7 linked regions of the Kluyveromyces lactis genome follow. The protein of the gene in region 1 binds, or shares a complex with, the protein of each later gene. Links are inferred from orthologs where the notes say so. Each region holds a gene or a part of one and is shown on either strand. Other genes may lie near its edges. The genes, in order: NUP145, MLP2, NUP82, SEH1, NUP188, NUP2 and NUP120.

What was found.
Region 2: NUP145 (region 1) and MLP2 share a complex: the UniProt entries of both Saccharomyces cerevisiae proteins name them as parts of the nuclear pore complex. The link is inferred for Kluyveromyces lactis from reciprocal best matches to the Saccharomyces cerevisiae genes NUP145 and MLP1.
Region 3: NUP145 (region 1) and NUP82 share a complex: the UniProt entries of both Saccharomyces cerevisiae proteins name them as parts of the nuclear pore complex. The link is inferred for Kluyveromyces lactis from reciprocal best matches to the Saccharomyces cerevisiae genes NUP145 and NUP82.
Region 4: NUP145 (region 1) and SEH1 share a complex: the UniProt entries of both Saccharomyces cerevisiae proteins name them as parts of the nuclear pore complex. The link is inferred for Kluyveromyces lactis from reciprocal best matches to the Saccharomyces cerevisiae genes NUP145 and SEH1.
Region 5: NUP145 (region 1) and NUP188 share a complex: the UniProt entries of both Saccharomyces cerevisiae proteins name them as parts of the nuclear pore complex. The link is inferred for Kluyveromyces lactis from reciprocal best matches to the Saccharomyces cerevisiae genes NUP145 and NUP188.
Region 6: NUP145 (region 1) and NUP2 share a complex: the UniProt entries of both Saccharomyces cerevisiae proteins name them as parts of the nuclear pore complex. The link is inferred for Kluyveromyces lactis from reciprocal best matches to the Saccharomyces cerevisiae genes NUP145 and NUP2.
Region 7: NUP145 (region 1) and NUP120 share a complex: the UniProt entries of both Saccharomyces cerevisiae proteins name them as parts of the nuclear pore complex. The link is inferred for Kluyveromyces lactis from reciprocal best matches to the Saccharomyces cerevisiae genes NUP145 and NUP120.

What each region holds. Positions count from the first base shown.
Region 1 is NC_006041.1:1,685,387-1,690,652, forward strand, and holds the start of NUP145 (nucleocytoplasmic transporter NUP145), read left to right. Parts: upstream 1-2,160; coding exon 2,161-5,266. Other genes in the region: kinetochore-microtubule binding complex subunit SPC105, read left to right, coding at 1-1,830. UniProt on the Saccharomyces cerevisiae protein: Functions as a component of the nuclear pore complex (NPC).
Region 2 is NC_006037.1:52,400-56,402, forward strand, and holds the end of MLP2 (Mlp2p), read right to left. Parts: coding exon 905-4,003; downstream 1-904. Other genes in the region: MCM10 (Mcm10p), read right to left, coding at 1-511, 595-682. UniProt on the Saccharomyces cerevisiae protein: Together with the closely related MLP2, involved in the structural and functional organization of perinuclear chromatin. Together with MLP2, associates with the nuclear pore complex and form filamentous structures along the nuclear periphery.
Region 3 is NC_006042.1:155,468-160,481, forward strand, and holds NUP82 (linker nucleoporin NUP82), read right to left. Parts: upstream 3,206-5,014; coding exon 1,142-3,205; downstream 1-1,141. Other genes in the region: SDH8 (Sdh8p), read left to right, coding at 600-995; MRPL37 (mitochondrial 54S ribosomal protein mL54), read right to left, coding at 3,500-3,796; mannose-ethanolamine phosphotransferase LAS21, read right to left, coding at 4,002-5,014. UniProt on the Saccharomyces cerevisiae protein: Functions as a component of the nuclear pore complex (NPC).
Region 4 is NC_006042.1:649,256-652,973, forward strand, and holds SEH1 (Seh1p), read right to left. Parts: upstream 2,255-3,718; coding exon 1,220-2,254; downstream 1-1,219. Other genes in the region: glutathione peroxidase GPX2, read right to left, coding at 14-499; ALG7 (UDP-N-acetylglucosamine--dolichyl-phosphate N-acetylglucosaminephosphotransferase), read left to right, coding at 2,546-3,718. UniProt on the Saccharomyces cerevisiae protein: Functions as a component of the nuclear pore complex (NPC).
Region 5 is NC_006041.1:969,171-972,747, forward strand, and holds the end of NUP188 (Nup188p), read right to left. Parts: coding exon 829-3,577; downstream 1-828. Other genes in the region: U6 snRNP complex subunit PRP24, read left to right, coding at 1-802. UniProt on the Saccharomyces cerevisiae protein: Functions as a component of the nuclear pore complex (NPC).
Region 6 is NC_006038.1:545,135-550,031, forward strand, and holds NUP2 (nucleoporin NUP2), read right to left. Parts: upstream 3,126-4,897; coding exon 1,140-3,125; downstream 1-1,139. Other genes in the region: SGD1 (Sgd1p), read left to right, coding at 1-1,040; RPS25A (40S ribosomal protein eS25), read left to right, coding at 4,661-4,897. UniProt on the Saccharomyces cerevisiae protein: Functions as a component of the nuclear pore complex (NPC).
Region 7 is NC_006039.1:1,080,282-1,085,315, forward strand, and holds NUP120 (Nup120p), read left to right. Parts: upstream 1-1,706; coding exon 1,707-4,736; downstream 4,737-5,034. Other genes in the region: FAR8 (Far8p), read left to right, coding at 1-1,322; TAP42 (Tap42p), read right to left, coding at 4,763-5,034. UniProt on the Saccharomyces cerevisiae protein: Functions as a component of the nuclear pore complex (NPC).

The sequences.
Region 1 (5,266 bases):
GAAGAAGAGTCTATGGAAATAACTGACCAAATACGGATGGATGCAGAAAAACCTACGCTAGATGCAGATTCAGAATCTGCTTTCAAATTACCTAAGATACCAGCAATTACAGAGGAAACAATGGAATTTACAAACGTGCAGGCTCCTCTGGAGATGCGAGAGTCACAGATAGTTTCTTCAACTCAACTAGAACCAACTCAACTCCCGCAGTCAAAAAGAAGGAAATTATCTAACGGTGGTTATCAGTCTCCGGTCAAATTGCAGGTACCAGTGCAAGTGCAAGAGACCCCTGAACAAAAAGAGAATATAGATGCGGAGCTCACAGAGATGGAACGATTATCGCCAATTCCGTTGGCAACAAATTCTTTACCAAAACCAAAAAATGTCGGCTCTCCCATACTATCCAAAACAAGTAAACATGTTCTATCAGACACTCAAAGTCAATCGGGACCAATCTCCTTGCAGACATTTTTTGATGCTGCTAATATAAAATTCAACGTTGATACCCAAATAAACGAATTTCAAATCGATCTTAAGAGTACGAATAACATCGAACATGTCCCATCTAATATAATATACCAAGCGTTATATTGTAAGATTCCAATATTAGAGATTCAAGCTTTCACCGCAAAAGAACTAACCCGAAGAATTCTACAATCAAGGAATCTCTTAAAGAGTCTTCGAGAGCAGATTGCATCCAACGAACCCCCCAGGTTGATAAAAGAGTATTTTGAGGCAGATACTGATACCCGTTATGCTATTAACGAAAAGTTAGAATTAGTAACCATAATGGCTAGATTACAATCTGAAAAAGTCTGGTTTGAGTGGAGATCACAACATTTGAAAGGAATTAAAACAGTCCTGGAAGAAAATATAGCTATCTTGGTGGATGAAAATGCCCAGATCATGAAATACATGAATGAAATAAATGACGTGAAAATAAGAGTTAGTGACATCAAACAGGTGTTAATGAAAGAACTTGATGTTCTTCGGCAGCACAACGATGTTTTTAGTAACAAGAAAGAGAACATAACGACTCTCCTGAAAGTGAACAAATTGAAAGGAGACTTGAGGGAGAACATGCTAAAGGTGTCAGACTTGAACCAGCTGACCACTAAAAAAGATCAACTTACCCAAAAAATACAAGATGCAAAATTGGAGATGAGTAAAGTGAACGAAGAGATTGCTCAACTTCGACAGGACTTGAAACAAAGCAAAGTTTGCACAGAATATGATGTGGCAAAGCTTAAACTAGTCCATCAGCTTTACCAAAGCATTTCTGGTATAAAGTTCAGAAAGTTAGTTGGTCCAGTCCTATCTGTATCATTACATGACGACAAAGTTATTGTGACAGCTGATCTTTCAAAAATTGATCAACCGTCATGTATTTCATTCAGTATTAGAGAAGAACGAATAGACCAATTTGAAAGAGAATTTATAAACTGTTGGATCAACTCTTGCCAGCGAACCTTCATAAATGGACTACAGTGCATATCAAGTTTGCAACGTCAACTGATAGATCTTTCAATTGTCATTTCAGAATTCAAAAAATTAAAACTCGTATTCCCGGCAACCGTCAATGCCCCATCACAGAATTCTCAGATCAAATATGTCACATTCCAGCATTTGGACTATAAATATCATTGCAAAGTAGCCCTTTCTTTGCCTATGGAAAGGTTTATTGATTTGATATGTCACTCTAAAAATGCGACCATCAATGTTAATATTATCTATGGCGAAGAAAAAACAGCAAGAAATCTAACGTCTAATCTCATAAAGAAATATGAAAAGGTATTTAAATGGCTCTCCAATTGTAATATAGCTCTTTGATATGGATATCCGAGCTTTTGTAGCGCAAGTTTTAGGCATTACGCAGTATATAGTTTCGTACGATATTTCTTTAAATTTCTCTCGAATGGCAATATTCCAAAAAATTGTTATTCTATAACATTTAAACAGTAAGATGAGTGTAAACAAAACACCTTTTGAACTCTAACAAGTGCACTACTTGGCTATCATTGATCGCAGAGCTTCTAAAAACCAATTCCATAGCTGGTGTTCATTGCTGCAGACGAAATTTCTCAGTTTTTTGTTACTGCTGTCATTTTTGAATCTGTACAGTTTAAACATCATCATCATAAATTCAACAACAAGTTGATTATGTTTGGTAATAACAAAGCGCCTGGTTCGTTATTCGGCAACGCGAACACCTCAACACCTACAACTTCTACACCAGCGAACAATGGGGTTTTGAATGGAAAACCCAATACTGGCACATTGTTTAGTGCTAATACACTCTCCACGCCGAGCCCTGGAAACCCAACAGGATTTGGCAATGCTCAGAACAACAACAACAAGCCTGGGTTGAATCTTTTTGGAAACAACAATGCTTCCCAGAATACACCACAGACGAATTCTCTATTCCAGCCTAATAACGCCGCTGCATCAACGCCCAACACATCATTATTTTCTGGCCCAGGGTCGAATGCCCAGCAGAACAATGGTGCTGGCAAGCTATTCGGAAATTCTGGTGGACAACAGACAGCTACTGGTATCTCATTCGGAAATAACCCCAGTGCGACAACAAACAATACGTTCCAATCAAACGGATTAAATACGCAACAGAGTGGTGGTTTATTTGGTAATAAATCAAACAATGGTGGGTCACTTTTCGGAAATACTCCATCGCAAACTAATAGTCTATTTTCTAATAATACCACGAACACGGCGTCAACAGTCCCAAAGACTTCACTGTTTGGAAATTCATCAACACAAGGTTCAGGGAGCTTATTCTCGTCCAGCAAACCAACTACAAATTCAACAGGCTTGTTCAATGTTTCTCAACTACAACAGCCACAGCAACCTGGCCAACCCCCAACGAACAACCCATACGGTTTGCAATTAAGTCCAAATCCTGTGCTGTCAATGCCAGAATCTATTACTACATCCCTGAGTAACGAGAGAAAGCCTGTCTCAGACTCGAAACAAAATAGAAAATTTTCAACTGCATCATCAGTGATCAGCAACAATATATTACCTCCCACAGGCAATTCAACACTGATAGGGAAGCTAACTTCAAGACTTAAGAATTTGAAGAGCAGAGAAACAACACATGGTTTGTTCTCCCCATCAAATAAAAACTTAGCCCAACAGGATACTTTCTCGGCACTTTCAAGAGATGAGAGTAAGGAAAAAGGGAAGAATATTAACAATAAGACAAACTCACTGGCTTCTTATTTTAACCAGGACGTTTCAAGCATGAAAAAATTAACCATTGATACAGACAGAAGCGCTGCCAAAAAGATGAAACTCTTTAACGGTCACTCTTCCGCTACCATAATGAAAGATATGGACGAGAAAGATCATAAGATTAGTATACCAAGGAATGATAAACTTCTTTTTTCAGCACATCCTTCAGAAACTAGTCCAACAGAGCCAACTTCGGAAGTCTGTCTGGATGAAGAACACAAAATAACGAATAAAGCAACTGACTATTGGTGCTCACCTACTATCGAACAATTAGAGCAACTTACGGAAAACCAGCTCACGGTTGTGCCCAATTTTGTGATTGGTCGCAAAAACTTTGGTTCCATCAGTTTTGACTATGAAGTTGACTTAACTGCATTTATGGATGATTTTGAAGAACTATTCGGAAGAACAATAATTTTTAATGAGAATAGAACCGTGGAAGTCTATCCTGATACCGAAAATAAACCGGATGTTGGTTATGGTGTCAATGTACCTGCTACAATAACTTTGGAAAATGTTTATCCGATCGATAAAAAAACAAAAGAACCCATTAAAGACAACTCGAAAATTGCTGAAGTTCAATATTTTGTCAAGCGTTTAAGGAATATGAAAGAAATGGAATTCATTTCATATAACCCATTTGGTGGAATTTGGACTTTTAGAGTTAAACATTTCAGTGTTTGGGGAATGGTCAATGAAGAAGATATGGAGGTGGATGCTGAAGAAGCAGAAAGAATAAACGCCGAGGAAATAAGAGACAGACCTCTGGCCTTTCCCAAGCGTCGCCACAGTGTGAAGAAGTCTAGCACGTCCCTTGAAGCGGAGGTACCAAGCAATGCAGACCTCACAGCAGCAGAGGCTCTTGCAATGGAGAAAGAAGTACTAGATTTGGTTCCAGTACTATCCGACTCTGTTGACCAAGACATGTCACTTATTATCAAGGAAAAACCTTACGAACCTTCTGATTTAGACGAAGATGATTTGAATATCCTCGAGGCTGCACCTAAACTTGTTACATCATCGAACTGGTTGCAACAATTACAATTAGCAGGTACTTCCAAACAGTCTGTGTATTCCAAGCCACTTTTACTCAAAAACACGCAAGGTAATTCTTTGGACGATATCTTGTTCCCTTCATTTAAGAAAGATTTATTGACATACCAATCTGTTAAAAGAGAAAGAAGAATCAACTCACATATGTGGTTTGCGAAGTTTAATATTAACGGGCAATTATTGCTCAAAGATCCATCACAGTTGTCAGGCTGTAAGCAGATCGTGTTTCAGTCCAACTTGCCAATAAATAAATCTTCTTTTGACAATGTGTTCGCCTCTTATCTGAACACATCCATAGTCAACTCCAGACCAAATGGTTATCCTCTTGTTGGGAAATGTTCCTTACAGTTCGATAATCTTGCTTCTGCATATTCTGATGTCCCAAATGAAGACAAAATATTGAAGTTAGCATCCATTTTGTTTGATCCTCTTTCCCTTCCATACGCTGTCAATTCCCCAGAAGTTGAAAAAGTTCTTATTAAAAAACAACGGCATGCAAAGCTCTGTGGATGGATAGTCGATGAAACAAGGGCTGAGATTGATTCTATGCTATCCACTGCTTCTGATATTCAGAAAATACTTCTTTTCCTCTCTGTCAACGACATTGTAAATGCTTCAAAGACGGCTATAATTTCCAAAAACAAACATTTATCTGTTTTGATAACGTTACTGGGGTCCAATGATCCAATTGTTCGTGAAATCGCGCAACTACAGTTAACTAAATGGAAATCTTTAGGCTCTATAGTGGATCCAACAGTCATTAGTATCTATCAACTACTCACTGGCAATCCTTTCGCTTCTACTGCGTTGGTAAATGAGAGTAACAAGTTTTCGCGGTTAGTGAATTTAGGTTTACAAGTATATTATGGAGATATCGATTCATTGACTCTAGAAGATTTGATTATGAATGCTATATCAAATCCATTTGTTGATACATCGTCTGTTTCAACTTTTGAAAACTTGT
Region 2 (4,003 bases), on another chromosome or scaffold:
ACCTTACTGAAGAGCTTTGGAAGTCGAAGCACTTTTATGTTTTTAGTATGTTTCCTAAGTACGGCCAACGGTACATACCTTCTGTCTATAACCAGACCACTCAAATCATCTTTTTCATCAACAGTAATTGGTTCATATTCATCGAACATGTCGCCATTGAATGTGTAAACTCGATGTGCCAATAATTCTTTCTTCCTTTTAATCGCTTCATGTTCATTTGTATTGATGGAGCGAAGTTTTTCAGTAAAGTAAGAAGTGGTACCCAACTTTTTGACCTTTTCCCTTACATAATCCTCATTAACATTAAATGTAGCTTCCTCTATATCTGCTACTGGCGCAATATGTTTGATATCCTCTATTCCTTTTGTAGCATTATCTGATTTCTTAGGAGACTCTGGAACGTCGATAGAATCGAAATTAGGGTCTTTGAGGTTTCTCTTCTTCTCTAGTTCCAACAGCCGGTTAGTTAAATCTCGTTTCTCAGTGTCAATTTCAACAATTCTTCGTTTCACTTTGATTTAATGATTGGTTATAATATGTTAGTAGGATATTCTAATGTCATTGATCTCGGTAACCATTATTATTAGAACATACCTCTTTCGATTTCAGATTCATCATCAGATAATTCCTCGTACGGGTCGAACGCCGTAATTTCTCTCGGGTCAGTTAGATCATATGACATGATGCATCTTCACTGTTACCTATACTCGATAGCTTCTGTAACTATTCTCGTTCATTCTTTACTTGTGGGATGTCATTATTTTGTTTTCTCGTTTGAATATCTGTGGAAAGTAATACTAGTATTTTTTACATGTTGAAAACGAATGGTCAAATAATGATACATAATAGAAAAAAATTAAATAGAACTTCGGTAATATTAACAGCCATAAAATCGTCTGGAGAATCAGGCTTCCTGACCATCCTCAGTATCACTTTCAGGCTCTTTGTGACGTTTCTCAGGCTGTTCTGTTGCGGTGTCGTCTATGGGTCTCTTATTAGGAGAAATTTCTGACGTTGAGAAGGGACTAGTGAATGTTGAATGAGAGCCAAATACAGGGGCCTGGAATGCTGCACTCATATTAGAAGTGTCATTCTCTACAGGTTTAATTGTGGACTTTTGTTGTTCTAAATTCCTGATCTTGCTTTCCAAAAATTTCAATTTCAAGGAAACTTGCTGTTTCCCTTCTTCGAAAGATTTTTGTTTTATTTCTGCCAAATCTGCTTCAAATTGCTTACGCATGGAATCCTTAAGTGCATTCAATTCTGCACGATGCTTTTCTAGAGTAATGGCATCATTTCCGATCTCTCCTGCCAATTTTTGGGCCTTTTCGTTTACCTTTTCTTCAAAGGACTCTTCTAAAACAGCTTTTCTTGCCTCAACTATTTTATCAATCTTTTGTTGAGTAGGTAACCTGATCCGTTTCTTGAGGGCTTCTTCTGCTAATTTAATTTTTTCCAGAGTCTGCTTCTCATATTCTTTTTCCCATTCATTCTTCAAAGCATCGATGTCTATATCCAAGGTAGGCTGCGAAGGAGACTGGACAGTAGTCTTTTCGCACTCTTCACGAATTCTCTTTTCTCTTTCTTCAAACTGTTTCCGGAGCTCTTCCTCTCTGGAATTCCAAGCAGATTCTTTTTCTGCCTCAAACTTGCTCCTCAATTCTTTTTCTTTATCTTTTATTAATTGTTCTTTTTCAGCTTCAAATTCTGTTTTCAAATTATCCACTATTGACTTCGTGTCTTCGTTGATAACTGGCGTATGATGTTCAGCTACTATTTTTTGAGCGTTGGAGGCTTCGGCTTCAAGCTCCTGTATTTTACTATTTAACATTTCCACAGTCTCAGTCAACGATTTTATTTTTTCATCTGAATCTGCATTATTCTGTTCGGTCTTGGAAGCATTTTCCATTTGAACCTGAATAGAATGTAGATCTTCCTGCAATTTAGATAATTGAGAGTTAAAAGTCTGTTCCTTTGTTTCTGCTTCTTGCGTTACCACTTGTAATCTTTCTTCTAACTCTTTGCAAGCGGTCTTACATTTTCCTAAATCGGCCTCCACTTGAGATTTAGCTTCATTGATTTGGTTTATTTCTGATGATAAAGATTGTTCCTTTTCCTTGGAGGCATTCAATCTATCACGTGCTTGAAGCCTAATTCTTTGGAACTTCGATTCCCAGTCATCTTTCTCGGCAATGACGCTTTGCAAAGTATCCTTGGTAGTTTGCAGTTCATTTTTAACATCGTTAATTTCCTCCTTTAGTTTACCATGTTCTTCAGGATCAATACGTTCATATTTATGTAAGATATCTTGAGAACGGCTTTTCCACCGTTCTGCTTCTTCTTTCGATTGAATGAGTTCCTGTTCTTTAATTTTGATACCATTTTGCAAAGAGGAAATGGACGACTGTAGTGGCGCCAGCCTATCATTACATTCTTGCAATTGCGACTTTAGATTGTCACATTCTTTCTTGAATGAACTATTTTCAGATCTTAGTGTAACGTTACTTTCTCTTAACAAGTGCAGTTGGTCAAGTTCTTTCATTATATTTTCTTGCTGCTCTAGCAAATGAGCGCTTTCACTGGAACTATTCTTAACTTGAGATAATTGAGTATTCAAATCTTCAATTTCTGATTTTGCTATATCAAGGCGTTGTTTTAGAACCGTTTGCTCGCTCAATGCAACTTCTAGTTTAGTTTCTAGCATGTCTCTTTCACGGCGCAAGCTGATTAACAAGTCACTTGAATCATGAGAGTTGTCACGATCTTCAGTCTTGTTTAGCAATTCAATTTGGTCGTACAGGAGCTTATTTTGGGTTGATAGTTCTTGGACTCGTTGCTCCAAAACGGACAGTTTATCTTCGTACTCAGTCTTCTGTTCATTCCATAATTTTTCGCTATTCTTCAAGTTCTCCATAGCCAGTTGGGATTGGGTTTTAAGTGTCTCTAGATCAGATTTATAGCTTTGCGCCTCAGTTCTTAGGGACGTAATAGTTTTAGAGACATCTGCATGCTTTTGCAATTCAAGTTCGTAGCTCCGTTGACTCTCATTTGCATATTGCGTTTGCATTTCTAGATCTTTCTGAATCATTGCAATTTTTTCTTCGTAGTCAGCCTTAGTTCGATCCACAGATTCTTTCACCATCTGAAGCTTACTGATTTCTTCCATTGTTGCGTTCCTCTCAGTTTGGTATTCTGATTTTTGATGGAAAATTTCGTTATTCAGGTCTTTCACCTGATCGTTGAGAATATTGACAGTACTCTGTAATTGATTTCTTTCGTTTTCTAGAGTGATTATTGTCTTCTGAGATTCCTTCTGGGCCTCTTCAAAGGCCTGGCTTACTTCATTAACGGATTGCACGGACTGTTCCGCCAGAGTTTTATGATGCTCTATTTGTGAATATGAATCAGAAAGTTGCAAGTTAACCTTTTCCAATTCCTGTCTCAAAGTCTCAACTAGGTTTTGAGCATCATCGACATTACTTAACATCGTATATGATTGTGCCCGTGCCTCGGCCTCCTTGAGTTTTGCGGATTGTTCATTGATAGTGGATTGCATTTTCTGAAGTTGAGCTTCTTTTTCTTCTAAGGTCGTTTTCTGTTGAGCTGCCTCACTAGTTAACTTATCAATCTTTTCTTGAAACCAATTATATTGATGCTCTTTATTGCTAGCAATTCCTGTGGTGTTTTTTTCAATTTCTTCAAGGCGTTCGAGTGAACCAGACAACTCAATTTCCAATTTTCTAAGCTTTTCCTTATAAGAATTCTGAGTTTCCTTGAGTAACATTTCTCTCTCACGTTGGAGTGTCTGAAGTTGCGCAATTAACACCTTGTATTCGACACTTTCTTTGGAAAATCTTTCGTTCTCTGCCTTCAGTTCCTTTTGAACCTTTGCCATAAACTGTTTTTCAGACTTCAAGATGGATAGTTCCGATTGTATAGATGACAAAGTGGATTTCGTTTTGATTAAGGAATCTACAGTCTCCTGTGTACGTTTGTCCTGTTT
Region 3 (5,014 bases), on another chromosome or scaffold:
TTCTTATCTAATTTTGATAAATCAAAGAGATTAGATGTTTATACATCAATTAAGTAAAGGGCAGCCCTGACAATGTATATATATACATGTAAAATATCACCAAACAGCAAAATGCAAACACTAAAAATCAGATTCCCCCCAATGGCGACAGGTGGTCCAGATAGCAGCCAATCCATCAATATTACCTCGCTTTCAAATCGATCACGAATGATTGGAAAACCGGTGCGATATAAACCTGAATACCTGCAACACTGTGTCTCTTGTCATATCCTGGGTTCCCTTCTAGGTTCTTGCTCATCAGTCACGTGAATCATATTTCTTTTGTCTAGACGCCACAGTTTTCTGTGTTTTCCCGGGTAATATTCTATTTCAGTCACATGACTTTTAATTTATCATCCTGTCTTCTTTCTTTTCACCGATGACTACCGAATTATCCTCTCACCCCGATTTAAAGCGATGATATTTCATTCTTCATACATATATCATCTTTACAATATATATCTGTCTGCGTAAATGGCATTCATCTATATTGATAATTTCTTTTAGACTTCGTTTGCAGATCATCTCTCAACAAGGTACCGCTATAACATACAACCTACATGCTTTCCAGTATAAGAAAACAAAGTGTAAGATTAGTCGGTCTAAGACCAGCCTTTGTCAGGTTGAATCAAATTAGAACATTTCAAGAAAGAAGAGCAGGTCCACCACCATTACCAAAGGAAGACCAGGAAGAGTTTGAAAGGCTGCAGAAGCTAGCGTCTTCTCAAGAAGCTATTGATTCTTATAATGCACAGTTTGAATCGGATCATACTATGGAATCGGTGAAATCGCCAATCTTGAAGAACGATATTGGTGGGTTTTCTCCAGAATTTATGAAGACTATACCAGAGTTCGAAGGCGAAAAGAATCCTAAAACAGGAGAAATTGGTGGACCAAAGCAGGATCCATTAAGGCATGGTGATTATTCTTTCAACGGAAGAGTCACCGATTTTTGAGCGCCATTCACACGTTAAAACAAAATTCGGTTAGTAGCATATTCACATAATGAAATGATATAAAAAGTAGCACATAATATAGTAAGGTATATGCCAGTTTTAAAACTAAAAACGAAAAAAAAAAGATATGTAGATGGTGATTGCTATTATACCGCTAGATCTTCAATGGATGCGCTTAACTCATTCATACAAGAATTGATGACCTTTTTGTCGTTCAGTAACATTTGTTGTAGGGAACTAAATTCTAGCTCGGAAAAGAAATCGTCTCCTTTAGTAGTTGATCTAAGCTGTGTGTCCAAAAACTCTAGTTCTTCGCGAAGTTTGTTTGTCAGATGTACATAGTTATTGAACTTTAATACCTGGTTTTTGATACTTTTGAACCACACTAGTTCGGCCTCGCTGATACTGCTTGTTCTTAATTTCTCGTTATTTTCTATACTGGAGAATGTCTCTTTTAACTTGTCAAGTCGTTTTTCCAACGTCTTGGACTTTTCCTCATACCTGGAATATCTTTCTTGGAGGTCTCCCAAGTTTCCGTTAAGTTTATTTCTCAACATTTCGATCTCGTTGGTTTTTCTTAATTGGCGATGGAGTTCAGCCACTTCTTCGTTGGATTTGTTGAACATTCTAAATAAAATCATCTGTCCCAACTTGACGCGCTTCATGGTTTCCTTGTAAAGTTCAGAAACCACTTCCAATTGACGTTCATTGGAATTGTTCTTCAAAGGGAGAGGAGCCAAAGAGTCCGGTATGCCTGAAATGAATCCATTGGCTTCTGTTTTATACTTCGTCAAAAGCATATCCAATTCCTTTCCAGACGTTGGCAACGATGGTTTATATGTATATTTCACTTCATCGGTTCTGTTTATGGGTTTCTGTGTGGTGCTCTTGTCGTTACTCTCGATGACCTTGAAGGAATTGCCGTTGTAAAGAATATCACCAGACAAGGTAGATAAAACACCGAGGAAAGTTCCTGAAACTGTTCTTATTTTATTTTCAAACTTAACATCATCAATGATAGAGAAGTCATGAAGCCTTATGCACTGTGCCAATGGTTCCAACCATGGCATTTCCATGATAGTCGTGGAGCTATCACCAGTAAATACTAATTTAGGTTCCGAGGAGTTTAGTAGTTGGCATTGACCTTTTGCATTGAACATTGTTATTACACTAAGGTTATTGAATGTAGTATTGGAGCGTAAACTCCAACTCATGACAATTTCAGAATCGGAGAACAACACAACGTTTGTTCCATCTATAAATTGAAGATTCAAAAGGCCCAAACGTTCTCCAACCGGTATGATTGTCAAGCCTGTGACCTCTTTCGCATTCAAAGCTGTCGGAAATTTTTTTATAATGAACGGGCCCTGTGGTACAGAGTTCCTGATTGCTTTGCTCGTGAATGTGTCTATACCATCATTTTTTTTATAGTTGTCGAAAAATTGAATTTGTTTCAATAGATCATGCTTTAAGGTGAGGTAATCGGATTCCACATCAGGATCTGAACCTGATATCAGCTTTAGCTGTTTATCGAGGCTATTGTATAAAGACAATGATTTGTGCAACATGTAATCCGCTAAAGAACCATTTTTCGTCCTTGATGTGACATTTGATGTATCATTACTGCGTAGGGAAAAATTCTTTGGTAGACACGGATGGATAGCATATATGTCACAGTAATTGAAGGAGCTCAGCAGATAAAGTGTCAAACCGGTTGGATCAAATGCAATGTCACAAACTGATTCCACATGGTCTGATAACCCAAATGATCTCGATTTACGATTGAAAACAGTGATAGATTCGGGTTCTAGGTCTTCAAGATCATAAATTCGAATTGTACTATCATCATGCAAAATAACGAAAGATAACCCATAAGTAGCCAGAGGATGCCATAATAGTTTTTTTATCCCTAGACTGGTATTGAAATGCTTTCTTAATCTAGATTGCTCATTCACTTCCATGACATAGAGCTCGCTGTTCGCATGAAATGCTACAAGGCCCCCCGACGGACTGATGACCATTTGTTCTGGAACGAATGGAAGCTCCACATTATAACTCCTGTATTGCGTTTCGTGGTCTGATTGCACTCTTAAGATGTTGTCCTGCCATAAATAAATAGTGTTGGAATTGTTGCAGACAAGACGGTCGGAAGGGTTCAGAGACACTTCCTGGAAGATTGCCTTCAAATCTTCTGTATTGAAGAGTAACATCCCACTATATTGGTTCAATATCCGGCAGTTAAAGTTATGGAAGAGAAGGTACCACAGTTAGATCGCCAGTTGATCTGTGTTACGTGTATTTCAAGAAGCGTGAGAGTAGTTCATCGTCGATATATTTTGAATATTTTGAACTTTAATAGTAAAAAAAAAAAAATACCTATAGCAGATCCAGTATTGCAGAAAAGGAAGTGTACGAAAGATATCAAAAAGTTATGTTAGATATGTGTCTTTATGTCATTTTTATATGTATATATATTTACAGGCGTGAATCATACTGTGGGTCCGTTAAATCTTTGCTAAGAAGTTATTTTGTTTGATGTTGGCACGGTTGGCTATCCTTAATTGTTTTTTTCTTAGCTTGATTGGATCAGCTGCTAGTTTTTCAGCTTGGACGTTGGCATCAAGCACTGTCCAGAGCCATTCAGGGTATTCGCTGTCTTCTAATGCCACGGGTTCCTTACCGGATTTCTTGATTTGTAAGTTCAATGGAGTGCCAGCTGGACATGATGACACGATCTTGGCAGCTTGGCCAGATGCCTCGCTTTTCACTTGGTTAAATAGCACGCGAGTCACTCTCAACATTTCTCTCTTTATATAATATGAAAAATAACCGATTTGTTATGGTGGGTATGTGGTTGCCGATACCAATTCGAACCTCAACAATAAGTTTTGGCAAGTTTGTCCTGCCTTGCGGCTATCAAAGTTCATGATCATTTACAGTCCAATTTGAATTTCTATGGTACAAAATGTTGATTTTATCGAAATTTTTCATTCAAAAACTAAGAATTCACAAAACGCCAAGCAGGGTAATGGCGAAATCCATGACGACATTATAGAGGGACCAGGCCGCGTAGTAGCATAGTTTCGGGCTAAACACGGACCAAATGAATAGGTGGTACCTTAGTGCAATGCACGCTATCATTAGACATGTTCCGGTGATATAGTAATGCTGCAAGCGTAGTGTCTTCTGTTTGTAGCTTTGAGGAATTAGTGAGAGAGCCCAGTAGATGGATGGTGCGTAGTTAGACAAGAACATTAATACACCAACAACGTATATGTTATAGTTGCTACTAACACCATTGTATGCATTAGTTAGATTGACAGTTGCAATGGAGTTCGTACCACCAAATTGGAAAAAAGTGAGGTTTTGTAGACATAATGAGAAAATTGGTGTGATGTCCGGTGTGACGCTAGTCAGTATTTCAAATATTAGAAACAATGGGATATTTGCAGATGAAGTTTGGAGCAACAAGACGAATTTTATAACACTCAGTAGTTTGTTTAACATATTGGTGCTTTTATTCAAGGCGTATTTCATGAAAAGAAGGATTATAATAGATACACCACATATTTGGAAGAAAATCCGAGCGATAGGCACTAAACATTGTGAAATATCTGATTCTGTAGCATTTTCATTAGCTAGATACATGGCGCATGATCTAAGTGCGAATGTGTATAGACCGCTTGGGACTTTATCCCCGTTAACAATAGCAAAGCATATTTTGTAAGTTATCGAGGACAAGGCCAAAAAGGACACGGAGAGTAATGATACCATTTTCTCTGATTCGTCTTTGTTTCTCAAAAATGGGAAACCCACGGACAAGAAAGTCACTACATTTAACCACCATAGGACTGATGTATGTGATTTTAAAAGAGTGTGTAGAACATTGTCGTATATATATTTTTGGCCACTATTGTTCCAACCACGAATCAGCCTTAATCCAGATAGCACAACCAGTTTTTTCCCGTTCGATATTTGCATCAGTAGAAGTACGGATATCGTGATCCACCACCATATTT
Region 4 (3,718 bases), on another chromosome or scaffold:
GTTTTAATCAAATTTATTCATTCAACAATTTTTCAATAGGTTCTTCTAACGAAGATGGCTTAGTCAAAGAACTGTACCTTTCAACAACGGTACCCTTCTTGTCAACAAGGAATTTTTCAAAGTTCCATTTGATACCCTTGAAACCCAACAATCCGGATTTTTCGTTCTTCAAGAAGTCGTAGACTGGGTCAGCTTCAGAACCGTTCACATCAACCTTCTTCAAGATTGGGAAAGAAACACCGTAGTTTAGTTGACAGAACTGAGAAATCTCTTCATCAGTACCTGGCTCTTGATGTCCAAACTGGTTACATGGGAAACCCAACACAATGAACCCTTTATCCTCGTACTTCTTGTACAAAGCTTCTAGTTCCTTATATTGAGGAGTGAACCCGCACTTGGAAGCAACGTTGACAATTAAAACAACTTTACCTTCTAGCTGAGTGAATGGGAATGGTTCGCCCTTTTTGTCCTTTGGTGCTAATTCGTAAAACTTAGACATCTTGGTAATTGCTGCTGTTCTTTTAATATATGAAAATATTTTGAATATTGGATATAGCTATAGCTTATTCAACAGTATATACCAAAATATTAACACCAATATCAATCAGAAACGATTTTAGGTGGACAAAAGTTATATTATTTCTGTATTGAAATATCGGTCTTGTTTATATAGAATCATTTTTTTTTTCCCTGTTTAATTCTCTATTACAAAGAATATTAGAAAGCAGAAGTGCTAAGGAACGGAACCAACAATCAGGAACAGCAACGGAACGACAGATTTATCGGCCGGACGATGAAGAACTGTACATTCTGGTAACGGCGTTATAACAGTACTGTAGGTATATCATATAAGATTTTATGATGACACCGGGTATATCTGCATCCTATAAGATTTATAGATTAGTAAACTGTCAGTGTTTATTGCTATGTGTCAAAGCATGCGGAAATGTTCGTTTCTGATGCAATGTATTTCATGTGATTACAAAGCAACGGCTGGATGTGTGCAATTTGGGGCTTAGAACTTAGAATTGATCGGTACATGATAAACTCCAAGCAGGTGAGAAGACGGCTTTAAACCACCAATGTGGCGTACCTTTTAGCTATAAGGTTTCTATTTGTCAGTGTTTAGATTGAATCTCGAACCCTTGATGATATCTGGTCACGTGGTCAATAATTACATACATTTTAACATCACATTATGAAGGGATATATACATAAATCACCTTGCCGCTTGTACCACACTCATACACCTGAACTCGTTCGAGTAAGATGCTTTCCATAACCGAATCTTACCATCATCTCCGGTACTACTTAGGATTGTACCTGTGAGATTCCAAGATACGGACCATACCTCGCCCTGATGGTCTGAATGTTCGCTGATCAGCTCGACGTGAAGGTTAGCCACTGATCCATCTGCATCAATGGCGGAGCTGTCAATGGGTGGGCCATCACGTTCTATGTTTGCATTGTTATCGTTTTCTTCGTTTATAATATTCGTACCGTTGTTACGCGATTCGGTTACTTTGAATATTCTTAATTTCCCATCTTTGCAGCCCGTAGCGATCAATTGGTACCACCTGCCCACTGATGGTGCCCACGCAATGGATCTGATTAATCCAGTGTGACCCTTCAAATGTCCTGCTGGGACCAATTTTCCCTGTTTGTTTCTTTGGTAGATAGTTGCCTGATCCATGGCACTGATAACTAATCTTTCTGTTGAAAATCTGGAGGGACACCAGGACAGACAAAAATCCGATTGTAGATGTGATGCAGGTGGAGTATTTAAGACGGTAATCTCGCTTGTCAGGGTCCATGACCTAAGATCGGAAGACTCTAACGCATCATAAAGACGTAACTTACCATCATTCCCCAATGCAGCTAGCCTTAGTCCCAAATGCGATGGAGCAAATTTTACGCTGAACAACGGTCCTGTCGCATCGTTCAACGTACAAAGTTTTTGCCAACGCTTTCCGGATAACTCAAGGGCATCTGGATCCTCCTCCCATAGTTTGATAGTCTTATCGTATGAGACACTCGCGATGATACGACCAAATTCTGGTGCGGCCCAATCAAGAGACACAATACTGCTATCGTGAGCCTTCCAACTTTCGCTCAATTCCCACTCATTCGTTTCCTTGTCTAGCTTGAACACCTTGATATGTTGGTCGCTGGAACATGTTGCGACTCGACGACCGTAAAAGTCATAACTAATATCGTGCACTAGGTCTGAGTGTCCTGTCAAAAACGGTTTCATGATGATAAAAGATTTTATCGGATTTACCACTAGATTGGTCGATAGAATAACTTCAACCTTCAAAGCCGTGAAGTGTAGATATCTCTCAACTCAGCTCAACTCTCTTTCCCTCTATCATGCAACTTTTAGCTTTCGTTTTCGAAAAGTTCGAAGTTCAATGTTTAAAGGATTCATATATATCGAAAATCAAAACACAATAATTTAAGAAAGCGCTTGGCATTTTAAATGCTAAGCTAAAAAAGTGCTTACTGAAGCTTTATATATAGCCAGTACCAGCTCAGGGAATGAACCATGCTTTCTTATTTTTTGCTACTGTTTGCTATTGCAATAATTGTATATTTTAAAGATGTATCTCCTATCGGATCTGCAGTAGGGTTTTCTGTAATTGGCTACGTGGCAGTTGATGTATTGATCCCACAAGTAGGTGATTCCTTCATCAAGATTGGTTTATTTGGCAAAGATATGAGTAAACCTGGTAGGCCAGTGATTCCAGAAACAATTGGATCTGTATCTGCTACAGTGTATTTGTTTATCATGTTCTTTTCGATTCCTTTCATGTTTTACAAATATTTGGTGATAACCTCTGGAGGTGGAAATAGAGATCTGGTTTCTCAAGAATCGACGGAGGAACAGCTATTCCCACATAGTAAGTTAAGTGAATTTTTAAGTGCACTTTTATGTCTTGAATCCACGATATTACTAGGTGCTGCTGACGATTTGTTTGATCTTCGCTGGAGACATAAATTCTTCCTACCAGCAATTGCTGCGATTCCATTACTTGTAGTCTACTATGTTGATTTTAGCGTTACCCATGTTTTGATCCCTAAGTTTGTACAAGAGTTAATTGGTACAAGCAAGACATCCATTGATTTAGGCGCTTTCTATTACTGCTATATGGCTTCGGTCGCCATTTTCTGTCCAAATTCAATTAATATATTGGCTGGTGTCAATGGACTTGAAGTTGGGCAGAGCATTGTCCTAGGCCTAATATTTATGATTAATGATGTGTTGTATTTAACTATGGGTGTGAACGGACATGCTCGTGAATCACACCTATTCTCACTTTTATTGATCGTCCCATTCCTCGGAGTCTCACTAGCATTGTTCAAATGGAACCGCTGGCCTGCAAAAGTATTTGTCGGTGATACTTACTGTTACTTCGCTGGTATGGTTTTCGCTGTAGTCGGTATTCTTGGACACTTCTCGAAGACTACGTTACTATTCTTTCTACCACAAATCTTCAATTTCATCTATTCAGCTCCACAAATATTCGGATTGGTGCCTTGCCCAAGGCATAGACTACCGAAATTTAACGAGAGTGATTGGCTAATGTACACATCACGAGCAGATCTTATAAAAGAAAAACCGAAGCCAGTAATGCAACCGATATTGAGACTTTTGCACAAATTGCGATTAATCGATTTGAACATCGATCCCAAAACAAATACAATTTTAGATTGCAGT
Region 5 (3,577 bases), about 720 kb from region 1:
AGTGGCAAAGAAAGCTACAAATAGGCTCAATGGGATAGAGATCAACAATTATAAATTAGTAGCGAAAATATCGAATGTCAACGAACGAACTGAAAGGACTGACAATGCCATATCGGATGGTAGAGAGATAATAGTTAAGAACCTTCCAGATGATATTACCATCGATGATTTGATAAAGATGTTCAATGAGTTTGGTGATACAGAAAAAGCTAGAATAGTAACTGGTGATGAAACAAACCCTGGACGACATTCCAGATATGCGTTCATAACATTCAAAAACAAAGCGAGTGCAGATAATGCTTTGTCATTAAATGGAGCGGTAATGAACGGTAAGCCATTACACGTTTCAAAAGTTATGAGAAAGGCTTATCTAGAAAGACAAGAGGTGAAGCGTCTGCTTGCTTCCAGAAAAGAAAACCCAAAAGTTGTCGGAATATACCCATTGTCTGATCAGATTACCCCAGATCAAATTCTTGCTTTCATTACGGAGAAAGCTCAAATTAGACCTCCGGATATTACGAAGGTTTTGCTGGTCTCTGATCATGAAGGTGCTTTAATAATAGCGGACAAAGAAGCAATTACCGCAAAAGTTTCACTTGCAATCAATGGATACAAGTTCAAGAACCGAATTTTGAAATGTGTTTCTGCTCATGAACTTTCCCTTCATTATCCCAATGAACACAAAACAACCTTGAATCAACCAAAGCACGCTGTTGTAAAGGAAATTAAATCACAGCAAGCGTCACAAAATGACAAAAAGTTGAGCAATGATGACTTCAGAAAATTATTTCTATCTAAATAATATTAATACTATATAAACCTACCTGTTTATAAATCTGACATCAAGGATGATTGAAGTTCTGAGATTTGCTTGGTGATAGAATGTAGAAGCTGATTTCTATAGACCTCATCTTCCATCATCTTTTGTTTGTCTGGGGTTGTCGCGATGATCCGAGAATTCATATACTTTGGGTGAGTTAACAAATGTTTCAATACATTTGCCAAATCGTTTCTCTCAGAGCTAGTGTCTAAACCAGGGAACAACTCTATTATCTCTTCTTCGTCAATGACCTTCAATTTGGAACCATTAACAGACAAATAACGCTGATATTCAAGTTTATCTAGCATTTTCTGCAAAAGAATTATCTGGGAAGTCTCCTGGATATATGCTTGAGTTATGGACAGTGAGTCAGACGACCAGCCCCCCACAGCAAGATCTATTTGTTTGGAGAAATATGAAACAAATAGACACACTTCCGAAAGTATTCCAGATCCGAATTTACTTAATAGTTGAAGAATAATCGATATGATGCCATTGGACCATATGTTATGCAATCTTGGTGATAATTCTGGGCGAGCCCCAGATTGTTGAATTGACACCGAAATCGGACTTTCCAAGAACACAGAGAAGAGCCCGTTATCTATAATCTTTTGTGCAACTTCTTCAATTGTGACAAGCTCAGAAATGAATGACAGGGTTAGCTCCGCGAATAAGGGTTCATCATGAGATCTGAAAAGATATGAACTGTAGTAAAGATTCAAAAGTGATTTTAAGGTTCCAAATTCATTTAGCGAGGATGCCAATACAGCGTTAAAGGATGTCGAAGGGTTCAGTTCTTTGATTTTTGTGAAAAGGGATAGTAATAGTAACAAATCTTGAATTTTGTCGGCAAGATTTGGCACAATAACTTTTTTACCTTTGTTGGAGGCTATTGTGAATGAGAATAATATAGAAGACAAGATCAAATTAACACCTTTTGAAAAAGCTAACTCGAAGACTTCCAATAGACTATCAGAATATCTTTCTGAAAACATAGGGTAAGGTTTTGCCAAAGTTAACAACATCAAAATCGAACGAAGAATAGGTCTATATTGATTATTCTTATTCGATTGTGCGATATTTCCGAGGTAATCTACCTCTTTAGACTTTAAAATTGCCAAAAGCTGTGACAATAGAGTTTCAAGCTTATCCTCAGGTATCTTCATAGAAGTTTGTAAGAATGAATACAGTATGTAAAACACCAATTCGATTCTTAGGAGGTATATTTCAGAGAAGATAGGTGCCTCCACACCATGCTCAACATTTAGTGCGAGTAGTTGGGTAACAATATCGACATATGAAGCTTGTAAAGGCTTTGGAGTTTTCTTAATGAATGCGGTCAAAAGAGCTCCCCATGATTTTGCTGCTGAAATTTGGAAAGACACATATTGTAAGTTGATAGAGCTTTTTATAACTTGTTCTCTAAACCCTGGAGTGGACCCGTTCCCTCTCCATTTTTCTTCACAACAGAAGAACTGATCAAGAAGTTCAATGTCATATATGTTCGCCTGGTACGCCTTACCGATTCTATAAAGTGGTGAAATAGCGAATTTTTCTATATCCAGATGAGGCCAAATCTTTTTGAATTCCTCTGCGAGAGTCAAATGAAGAGTTTTATCATATCCGTCTATAGAAAATATCCTCTTAACGATATCAACAAGTTGGGGTCCATTTAACATGTTTGTTATGGTGGAATCTGAAGGTGAAGAGGTGAATAGATGAAGGGCAAATATTTCAGCAATCCTCGCTTGAAGACGATAGTGACTGGATAATTTAATCGTCGCCTCAACCGAATCGGGAGCCAACTTGTCCTCGAACTTTTCTAGCCTTTTGACGAGAAAATCTATAAATTCTTTATCTGCTGTATTATTCCTTGCAGCAGCCCAAGAGTTGAATGCATATGAGATTGCTTCAAGAAGTCGAGAAGCCACAGATTCCGGGTAGCAATCTAGCTTCAAGACATTTTTCTTAAGGAGAGAAAGAATTGATGTTTCAGAGGCGCTATTCGATGGTTCTGATTTTTTTGGGGAAGAGCCAACGGATATGGTTTCGCCAGTAACTAAAAGAATAGAGAAACCATCCTGCTTTCCTTCCATAACGGAAGAAAAGAATCTGTATAAACTCTTCAGAAATTGATAATCATCGATTGTACTTGCGAGGTCGTACAAGATCGAATTGAAAATCATCTTGGAGTGTTTTTGGCCCAGATACGATAAAAGAGATGGGAAGTTTTCGGCCCAAGGGGCTCTCACAAGGTGCGTCATGAGTTTGATTATTGGATTTCTTAAATCATTGTGTAAGGCGTAAATGTCAATTAACTTCGGCAAGTTGCCATATATTTGTGATTCCAGAGTGCTGGGAGGTAATTGTAACATTGCACGGACGGAGATTAAAAGGTTTGCTAATTCATAAGACTTCAGCAAACATTGGTTGTACTTATTGTAAAAGACTTCATTTCCGATAGAGAGTGCTTCCAATGAGTTGCTGGATAATAGAACATGCAGTATGGAAGTGACTGTTCTTACATCTGGTGAGTCAGAACTTAAAAAGCGATTCGTTATGTCGTTTGCAGCTGATGATAGGACTTTAGTAATTTTAGTTTCTGGCGGATTAGATGGATCGATACCATAAATATTGTAAACGACAGTCGTAAACAAGATGGTTAAGTTTGTTCCTAGCTCATATTTCTCAGCTATGGAACGATAGTTCCAGTATTGATAACTTTCATAAACATGTATGAAATGCTGAAAGAATTTC
Region 6 (4,897 bases), on another chromosome or scaffold:
GAATTTTGGGATCACTTCGCATCTCAACTTCGGCATCTTCGGAGCCTTTGCTGGCTTCTCTAGAAGATATAAAAAACGTGGATTCTAAAGGTAAGTGGTGGTTAATTGGAGCATCATGGAAGGGTAATCAAGAAACTGCTTTCGATGAGGCTAATGTCAAAGAAGACAGAACGATTGCTAATCAAACAAATATAAAATTGGATGATGATTTACTCTCTGAAATGATTGATTGGAATGAGATAGCGAAACAACAGAGGATGAACACTGATGTGAGAAGAGCTATATTCGTTAGCATAATGTCTGCAGAGGATTATTTGGATGCATTCGCTAAGATAGAAAAGCTGAACTTGAAGAGTAAACAGAGTCTTGATATTTCACGGGTGCTGCTACATTGCTTGTCAAACGATGGCACATCGTCCGGATACAATCCATATTATTCATTATTAGCAGGAAAACTCTCAGAGCATAACCACAAACTTTTAAAGTCTTTCCAGTTTTTATTCTGGGAAATTGTGAAGAAGTTCGAGCTTGAGACACATTCAGATGATGAGGAAGATACCTTGTTCAGCAATGAAGACACTGTTGATGAAGACACTAGATTACAAAGATTGGCTAAGCAAGGCCGATTCTTTGGCCATTTAATAGCAGAAGGTCACTTGAAACTTGATGCTTTCAAGCATGTTCCGTTAATGGCAGGACTCAACTCAGATGGAATAATCTTCTTTGATATTTTGCTTTTCCAGTTGTTCCTTTCCGAAGGTAAGGCAGCCGAAATAAAGATCAAACGAGATGGAAAGAAAACATTTGAGTATAACTCTGATGGTTTGTCTTCTTTGATCGAGAAAGGTATTAACATTCAGAATAAGAATGTTATTTTAAAAGCGCTAAGATGGTTTATATCTAAGCATTTTGATTATATCAAGTATATTTCAGGTATGAAAGGCTCAAAAGAACATGATAGAGAAAGTAGAAGACTGTCTTGGGCAGTTGCATCTTTCAAAAAACTGATAGAAGAGGAGCTCAAAGGTGCTGAAGATTGACTATTTTAAGTACTTTTTTTTGCCATTTTAATAGTTACACATGCATATATGAACTAAGTTCAAATAGTTCTATTAATTAACAGTTAAATGTACTTAATTTTACATCGGTGATTGAGCATCCTTGATCGCTTGTACTAATTTTCTACCATCAGCCTTTTGTTTCACTTTTACGACGTATGTGTCTAACCCTCCTTCCGCTTTAATTGCAGGACACTTAACCAAATTCTCATTATTTGGATCTAATGCTTCATAGGAAAATGACTTTATAATACTAGTATTTAGCAAAATATGACCCATACCGTCTGACCTACAAAGTATTCTTGCTTTTGTATTGTCTTCCTTGTTTTGCAAAACCTTCAATTCACCTACACCACGGGAATCATAGGCTTTCGTCTCAGTATTGAAAATCATTAGCTTGGCGCGTTGCGAAAAGAGTAGATTCTCATTCTCCTCACCGTTCGATAGATTCAAAGTTTTAGATGGCTCTTCTTGTGCCTCAGCAGATGCGTCTTCGCTGTTTTTTTCACTAACTTCCTTGGCAGTATCCTTATCAGATGTTGGAGCAGATGAGGCAAAGGGTAAAGAGATCTTGAAGCCAGATGATTCACCTTGTGGAGGCGCCTCTTCAGATTTGTTGGCACCAAAACTGAATGCTGGTACAGTTGATGCTGCTGTTGCCCCAAACGTAAACGTAGGTTTTTTCTCATCTTTTTTGTCGGTCTCCTGTTTTCCAAAAGTGAAAGGAGTGGAGCCTGTTGAAGCTTTACCAAATGTAAATGAAGGTTTAGATGACTCAGCCGGTTTTTCAGAGGTTGTTGAGGTACCGAATGTGAAAGAAGGCTTTTTAGCTTCATCATTACTGTTTTCCTTGCCCATAGCTCCAAATGTAAAGGAAGGCTTTGATGAATCTTTGTTTTCAGTTGCTGTCCTTTGCACTGGAGCAGAGAAGCTAAACGATGGTTTAGAGTCCGCCGATGGAGCAGGGGCAGAGAATGTACCGAAGGTGCTAGCTGGCTTTGCTTCTTCCTTTTTATTTTCACTTTCTTTGGCCAAATCTTTATTGTTGCTGAAAGAAAATGAGAACGGAGATGATGAATTACCATTATCAGCCTTATTTGACCCAAAGGCAGGAAGAGCTGGTTTGCTTCCCTCATTTTTCTCTATGGATGGTGCGGACGCAGAAGGAGGGAATGTTGGTTTAGATTGTGAAGAGTTCCCAAATATACTAGCTGGCTTGTTATCCGTTGGTTTTTCAGCTGGTTCAGATTCCTCTGTCCTTGAAGCATCATTCTTTGGTAAAGTAAAGGCACTGGACGATACAGTCCCATTAAACGTAAATTGGGGTCCCTTGATCTCTATCTCGCTGTCGCTATCGCTGTCAGGTTCCTTACGCTTATTCCCACCGAAGCTGAAAGGCGGATCAGACGTCGTTGGTTTCTTAGCCAAGACAAACTTTGGGCCTTCAACATTAACGGCTGGTTTTTCCTCTTCAGAATCACTATCGCTGTTAATCTCAATTTGTTCTTTTTTATCTTGCAGTCTCTCTTCCGTTACGGTCGTTGTCGGTTTAGTCACCTCCGAAGGTAGAGCAAATGATGGTGCTGCGCTAGGCTTTGCGAATGCAAATGGATTTTTAGGTTTCTCCACATTTGCTGATGTGGTACCAAATGTGAATGAGCTAGTTGGAGGAGCGTTTGCAGCGCCATTAGTTTTCGCTTCTGACCTTAACTGTTGCGAATAGGTCTTGTATTTATCGAACAGGAAAGAAATATCAGCAACTGGATCTGATTCCAATGTAGAATTTATTTTATTTTTGAATTGCACGTTCAATGCCGTGAGTTTTTCGTTTAAGTCAGTGCCTTGAGGTTTCTTGTCATCCTTTATCACTTTGAACATGTTAGGTTTATCACCCGCAGTAAATCCTCCCATTTTCCTCTTTGGCATTGCAATTTTTCTGGTACTCATTACAGATTCGCTGGCAACGGCAGGTTTATCAAATGGAGTCTCGTCATCTGAAACATTATTACTATGTCCGTTCTCAAGACCTTCTCTGGTCATCTGAGAACCCGCAAATCTCTTTGACATATCCTACAGTGAGTATTGTGCTTGGAAAGATCAGCTCAAGAGAAGTCACTTTCTTAATCAGAAACGAATTGAACTAACGGGAAGCAACCGGAAGTAGCAGAAAAGGAGTTTAAGGATTGCTGATGTGTAAGCATTCAGACATCAACATGAGAATTGATGATACTAACACCAGAAATAATAATAAAGCAGCTCGAAATTCTAAATCCTTCAATATACTGTTGACTCGTGTGGGATGACTTATGCTGAACACGTGACTACATGTTATTCTGCTTGTGATGGGTTGCTCAGGGGAGTAAAAATGTAAAAAGTATTTAGCGAAACTTTCGAATCGCTTTCTCCTCCGATACCGGGAGTCGAACCCGGGTCTCCACGGTGAGAGCGTGGTGTGATAGCCGTTACACTATATCGGAATATAAAACGTTGTTATGCTTTCAGGGATTATTTGCAATAGCCACCGTTATAACCGACACACGTGCAATGATTTCTTACCTCATTAGTTGACGCAGGTGGCAAGTACGATGGCCGTAACACCATGTAGGACTTGTTGGTGTAAAACTTGCTAATCTATCAGATGAAACATCTGTTTTATAGCGCTCTTATTTTTAATGTTGTATTACGGGACTGTTTTGTTGGATCCAGACACCACGTTATATATCCGAAAGTTGAACTTTGTATATTTTCTCATGCGTTATTTCCTTCCTAAAGAGGAAATTATCTCCTTTCCAAAATGAGTCCATTTGTCGCAATCCTCGTTATCCTGCTTCACTTTCTCTGCTTCTCCGGTAGGAAGAGGAATACTTTGCGTCCTGGACAAACTCACTTCGGATTGAATATTCATTTTTTGATTTACATTGAATTGCAACTTAGAGATATTAACAAGTTGTTTAAAGTAGCACCTTGATTATTATAGGGTTATTTACTTTTGAGTTCATTCAAGAAGAAACCAGCTAAGGGAATTTGAACGTATGTGCCGTGTACTAGCAGTGGTTACTTATTTGGAATAGCACTTTTGGGATTACGATGAAAGAGATAACAAAATAAAACCAGCACGAGGTCTGATATCGAGGATTATACAAGAATAAGATAGATATATGAATCAGGAAGAGGTTCTAATGTTAATTTATTGATAGTGATGACAAATGAAACAACACCAGTTATACTGAAACAACATTTACCAGAGATATTTTGTGGACGGATTGATAATTTTCTCTCCAACATTGTATTGATCATCGTACTATGGCATCAGGATTAAAAGTGTACTGAATAATGCAGCTTTTTGTTATTTGGTGATATAGCCCAATGGAACTGCCAGCAAATATTTCTTAGGAAACCAGATTCTATAATTTGGGTGAATTTGCTGGAAAGTAAGGATTCATTCAAATTGACAAGCTATCTATCAGAAAAATTCTCTCGTCATTAGTCGGACTTGCGACAAATTTACTAAGTGATGTGCTACTTCTCACTACACCCCTCTTCATAAAGAATCAATTTTTTACTAACAATACCGAACTTAACGTTCCCTTTTCCGCAGAAATATGCCTCCAAAACAACAATTGTCCAAAGCCGCTAAGGCCGCCGCTGCCATGGCTGGTGGTAAGAAGTCCAAGAAGAAGTGGTCTAAGAAGTCCCACAAGGACAAGGCTAAGCACGCTGTTGTCTTGGACCAAGATAAATTCGACAGAATTATGAAGGAAGCTCCAACCTACAGATACGTTTCCGTCTCTGTGTTGGTTGACAGATTCAAGTTGGGTGGTTCCTTGGCCAGAGTTGCT
Region 7 (5,034 bases), on another chromosome or scaffold:
GCCCGCCAGTAACAGATCAGTTGGAATCATTGAATGATAAAGATGATTCGGTGAAAAAATTAGAATCCTTGAATTTGTTTAATGTCAACAACTCTAGCATTCTCAAGAATGGTACTGATAATAGAACCGAAGTTAAAAACGAACATAAAATAAGTAATTCGCAAGTTGACGACGGGGATCTTATCATCAATGATAAAGAGGCCAATAGTACCAGCAGTGATGTCCCAAATATCACTCTAAACAGGGATTGGAAAGATGTCATAAATTCACCCCCAGGAGATGACGTTTCTGATGCCGAAACTGTAATAAACACAAGGCGATCAAGATCATCGTCCTTGTTCTCAACACAATCCAATGAGATGCTCAAATTCCATACTTATCGTTTCTTACAGTATCATTTATCTTCAATTAGCAAATTGAAGCTTCTCGGAAACAACATGCTATCTTTTGGCTCAGATGGTTTACTAAAGCACTGGCTCATTGAACCTAGTTTGAACTCTAATGAAAAGGCAACCAAGGCGTTTCACTGTGTGCCTAACCTCTTGGGTATTTTTTGGTTGAATAAAACAAGGTTTATGACTGTGGATGAAACTTCCGTCAAGTTGTGGAACGTAAGCCAGAGCGACCCTGTCATATCTTGGGATGGCCTCAAGGATTTAGAAGGCTTACAATCTGTAGATTTCAAAAATAAATGGCTAATTTTGACTTTCGTTAACGAGATACGGGTCTGGGAAATTAAAATCGATGACTCCAGTATCGTTAAGGTTAATGAATTCGTCATTTCAGTCCCCAATAAGATTCTCAATTGTTTGTTGGGATTAACGGAAAAATCGCTTATAATATTAAATGGTAGTTCAAAACAAAACGTAAAGATTTCTATCTTCGACTTTCAAGGCTCCCTTTTACAACAAATCGATCTTTCTCATTCGCTGACCCAATTCCATCACACAAATAATGAATTAGCATTGAACAGGTCGACATCAAAATTGCTTGTGAGATTCGATACAGAAACTCTGATTTACTCTTTCGATCAGAAGAAGACCATTTTAGTGTCTTCTACCGCAGAATCTGCTATTTCCTCGATTTTCCTCAATGATTTGGAGTACACTGTCACCGCTTTGAAGGATGGTTCAATACTCGTGAAGTCAATCAAAGAAGATGGTAAAGTAATTAGAAAATACAATCATTATGAACACCCTGAGAAGGTTCCCGCTGAAGTGCAACCAATTGCCATTGCATCCACAGTCATAGATGATACCCCTGTAATCGTTTCTGGTGGCTATAACGGTGTGATACGACTAGAAAAAATTATGAGCTTATGAACGCAATGCTATAGTAATCAAAGCTGCCGCTATAATTCAAAGAGAAATATAGGAAAATAATCTATAATGCTCATGTAAAACAGTACAAGACGAACGTCATCGTCTATAGACATGGTATCCCCAGAGTACCTATATAATCCTCCTCACAACATGGAAATTATTGCCCAAGCGACCTTAAAATTCAGTTATAAGTTACCCGGATAATATTGTTTTCATGGTTACAACAACAATGAGAAAAGACATGTTGAAATCAATCTGACATGAAGTGGAATCGGTAAACAGAAGAGAACAGCCACCAGAGAACTTCAATTACAGGCTAAATCGGAACATAAACCTACAACATTACTATTGAACAGCTGAGAGGTAAAGCTGAAACTGCGAAAAATGACCAGCTTTTCTCGTCTGAATACAAATTTACTACAATTAAAATCGAAGCACTCATCAGACAATGCCCAACATTTATACGTCAATGGGAATGTTGGATCATCTACAGAAGAAATAACTTCCGTAGAGTACAGCAAACTGTTGCAACTAAAATTAATTGATGAATCGTTGTCCTTCCAATGGTGTAATAATTACACTGTTTTGAGTATTTACTCCATGAAGGAAACTTTTGCAAGGAAAACCATATATATCCACTTTCCAAAACCTCTTCTGAACAAATGGTTTACTGCAGTCGTATACGAATCTAGTGAAACGACCTCCAACCTATGTTTTGATGTGATTTTAAAGGATGGAATTTTCATCAACCTTTCATTGCCTATCGATTTTATTCTATCGAGAACTCGTCAAAATGAGTATCCTGAGAATTGGTTGAAGGTTTTAAACCCGTATGATTTCTCAGTACGTCCTCCACAGTGTCTATTTCATGTTGATAACACCTTCAGTGTAGTATTTCTAAAAGATGGTGGTCTTTTGGGGTTAAAACGTATTCCGCTCGAAATATTAAACGATTTTGAATTGCAACCTGTCCTATTCAATGATAGTTCATACTTTCAAAGTTTTACAAGAATGTTTTCAAAGTACGATAACCACAACTCTGCAGTGGTATCTGCAGAACTTTTGAATGACAAGTATCTTGTCACATTAACGAATGATGCAACCATTAAAATCTGGGATTTAACCACATATCAACTAAATGCGCATTTCGATCTAAAAGAGAAAAACCAGCAGGTGAATTATGGAGCTGCCGGAAAATACATGATAATTTGTGGATCTCTCCTGTTTGTATACCTACCTGCAGGTAATGGATCGTTCCAAGTCATTCAATTAGAAAATACGCATTCTTCAAGAATCTCCTTCAAACCATTAAACGTTAATATACCTCTCAATCTTTCATCTTATTCAATATGGTCTTTAATTGACATTCAATTAGTAAAATCCTCAATTGTCAAACAATCGGGACTCAACTTGGTTTTATTATGGAAAAGTAACACAGTGACCAAGCTACAACTACTCTCCTTCGAAGACTCTCTGTATAGTAGCTACAAATGGATTGATGGTAACAGCACATACCTCTCTGATTTGCTTGATGACTCAGACCTAATAACAAACGGAAATATGGAAAAGGCTCTCCTCAATCTCAAGTCACACTACTCACAATCAACGTACGATGACGCACAAAAGATACTGAATAAAAATAATGTCATGGTGCAGATAAATGATCCTCATAATCAAGATTATTTGAATAATCTAGAAGCTCTTTTGAAAGAACTTCATAAACAATATCAGGAGCCTTCAACTCTAACTATTCTTGATGATGAGATAATTGTTGTTAACAGCTTACACATGTATCATCATTCCACGTATAAGTTAGACTCACAACTTGAAACAATTTTCTTTAACATTTTTGAGAGAAAGGAACCCTCGTCTCAACTAGAGCTTTTCTTAAATATCCTGCATGGTTTTTCAACAACCATTACATCTGAAACGTTAAATAAGATATCTGAGAAGTTCTTAGACATGGTAAATGGTTCAATAAATCCCTCGTTATCATTGAAAAATAAAATTACCATTGTCTTTCAAGATTGTCTAACAAATGGTTTCCAAAGTGCTAATTTATCAAAATTGTTGGAAAATCTAAATTCTATTGATGTGGTGGAGGTTTTATCCGAATTTATACACTGTGATTTGAAAGTAGGTGCTTTTTCAGTTATTGATTTATTAGATACTGACATTTTCTTATCTGTTTTGTCTATGGAATCCTTGAAGCAGACACTCTCCATTATGGATAAGTTTATCATTGATATATTGTTAGTATTCACTATTGTGGATATCAACTATGAAGTTTTTGCAGAGAAGTTGTCTAAGTTAATTACCTTGCACTTCAATATCTCATTGTGGCTCCAAGTGTATCAAATAGATAAATTATTGGCAATTTCTGAGACCTTCGGTCATGTTACTAAATACAATTATGGTGCACAATTGAAATCTTACAGCGATATAACCGACTTTACTACATTAATGGTTGGTTTTGTCAAGAATTCTCCAACAGCTGAACCTCCAATATTTACAAGAGCCTTTTCCGATTTCATATTGAACGGCGAAGATTTGACTTGTGCAAAGCAATTCCTACACTTTGTTGCTAAGCCTTACCATGTGTCCAAGGATCCAGTAGAAGAACTACTATATGCTCTTTCTTTGTTCAAATGCAATGAATATGATGCATCTATTGAAATATTCTTGGCAAATGACTTCTCTGATGAGCTCTCACTACCTAAATATCTGGAGGTTACTGAAAATCACGTTTGGTACAATCTCCTTCATGCGATCAATACAAAAGATAAACCAGCATACTATTATGAACTTTCAGTTCTATGTTCCAAAGCTTCATCGTATGCTAATGCTTTAAAAACCATCAAAAAATCTATATCACTTGATGGTACAAGAGCAGATCAGTTGATACAATACTTAGATACATTGATAGTATTTGGCGATTATAAAGAAGTCCTGGATGTATTGAGGTTGGAACAAAAAGTCCTTGATATAAGCCTAAGAGAAAAATACTATTATACACTGCTGAGTGATCAAAAGTACAGTGAAATGTTCACTGCAACTTTACTCCAAGAATGCTACAATGCAAACATTTCCAACGGATCCATACTATTATGTGTGAGTGATTATAAAATTATAGCTTCAATTTTATCATCACAAGTTTCTCTCACTGATTGGAACAGCTATAAAAAGTTGTTCTCTTTCAGAATACTAAATCAACATGAAAGGAAAGCGTGCGAGGAACTATATGACTATGTACTCTTCGGATCGAACGACGAGGTTAAAGAAAAGTGCCTACTTCTAATATCCAATGTCTTAAAGACATTTTCAGATGCTAAGGACCAATGGTTCATCAGCTATCCAGGACAAATTATTCATTTACATGAATTGAATGACAAAATGAATAAGTGTTCAAAGTAGATAAACATATATATTGAAAGCTTTGTTTAACCTCTATTCATTGTATTTCCGCTTCCTTTAGGATTGGATTCGGTGAAGTCATCCCATGCTCTTGCTTTATATGTAGCAAGATCATTGGATTCAAAGTCATCCTCATCAGGTTCTTCTTCTACGGGTTCTGCCCCACCTTGAAGGACCCTGTTCTCTTCAAATTCTTTTGCCAAAAATTCTTCCACCGTCATTGTCGGTCCATATTGACCATATCCAAAAACTTTGGATTTCAATTGATCCTTTTTATCTAGTAACGTGAAGTTTCTTA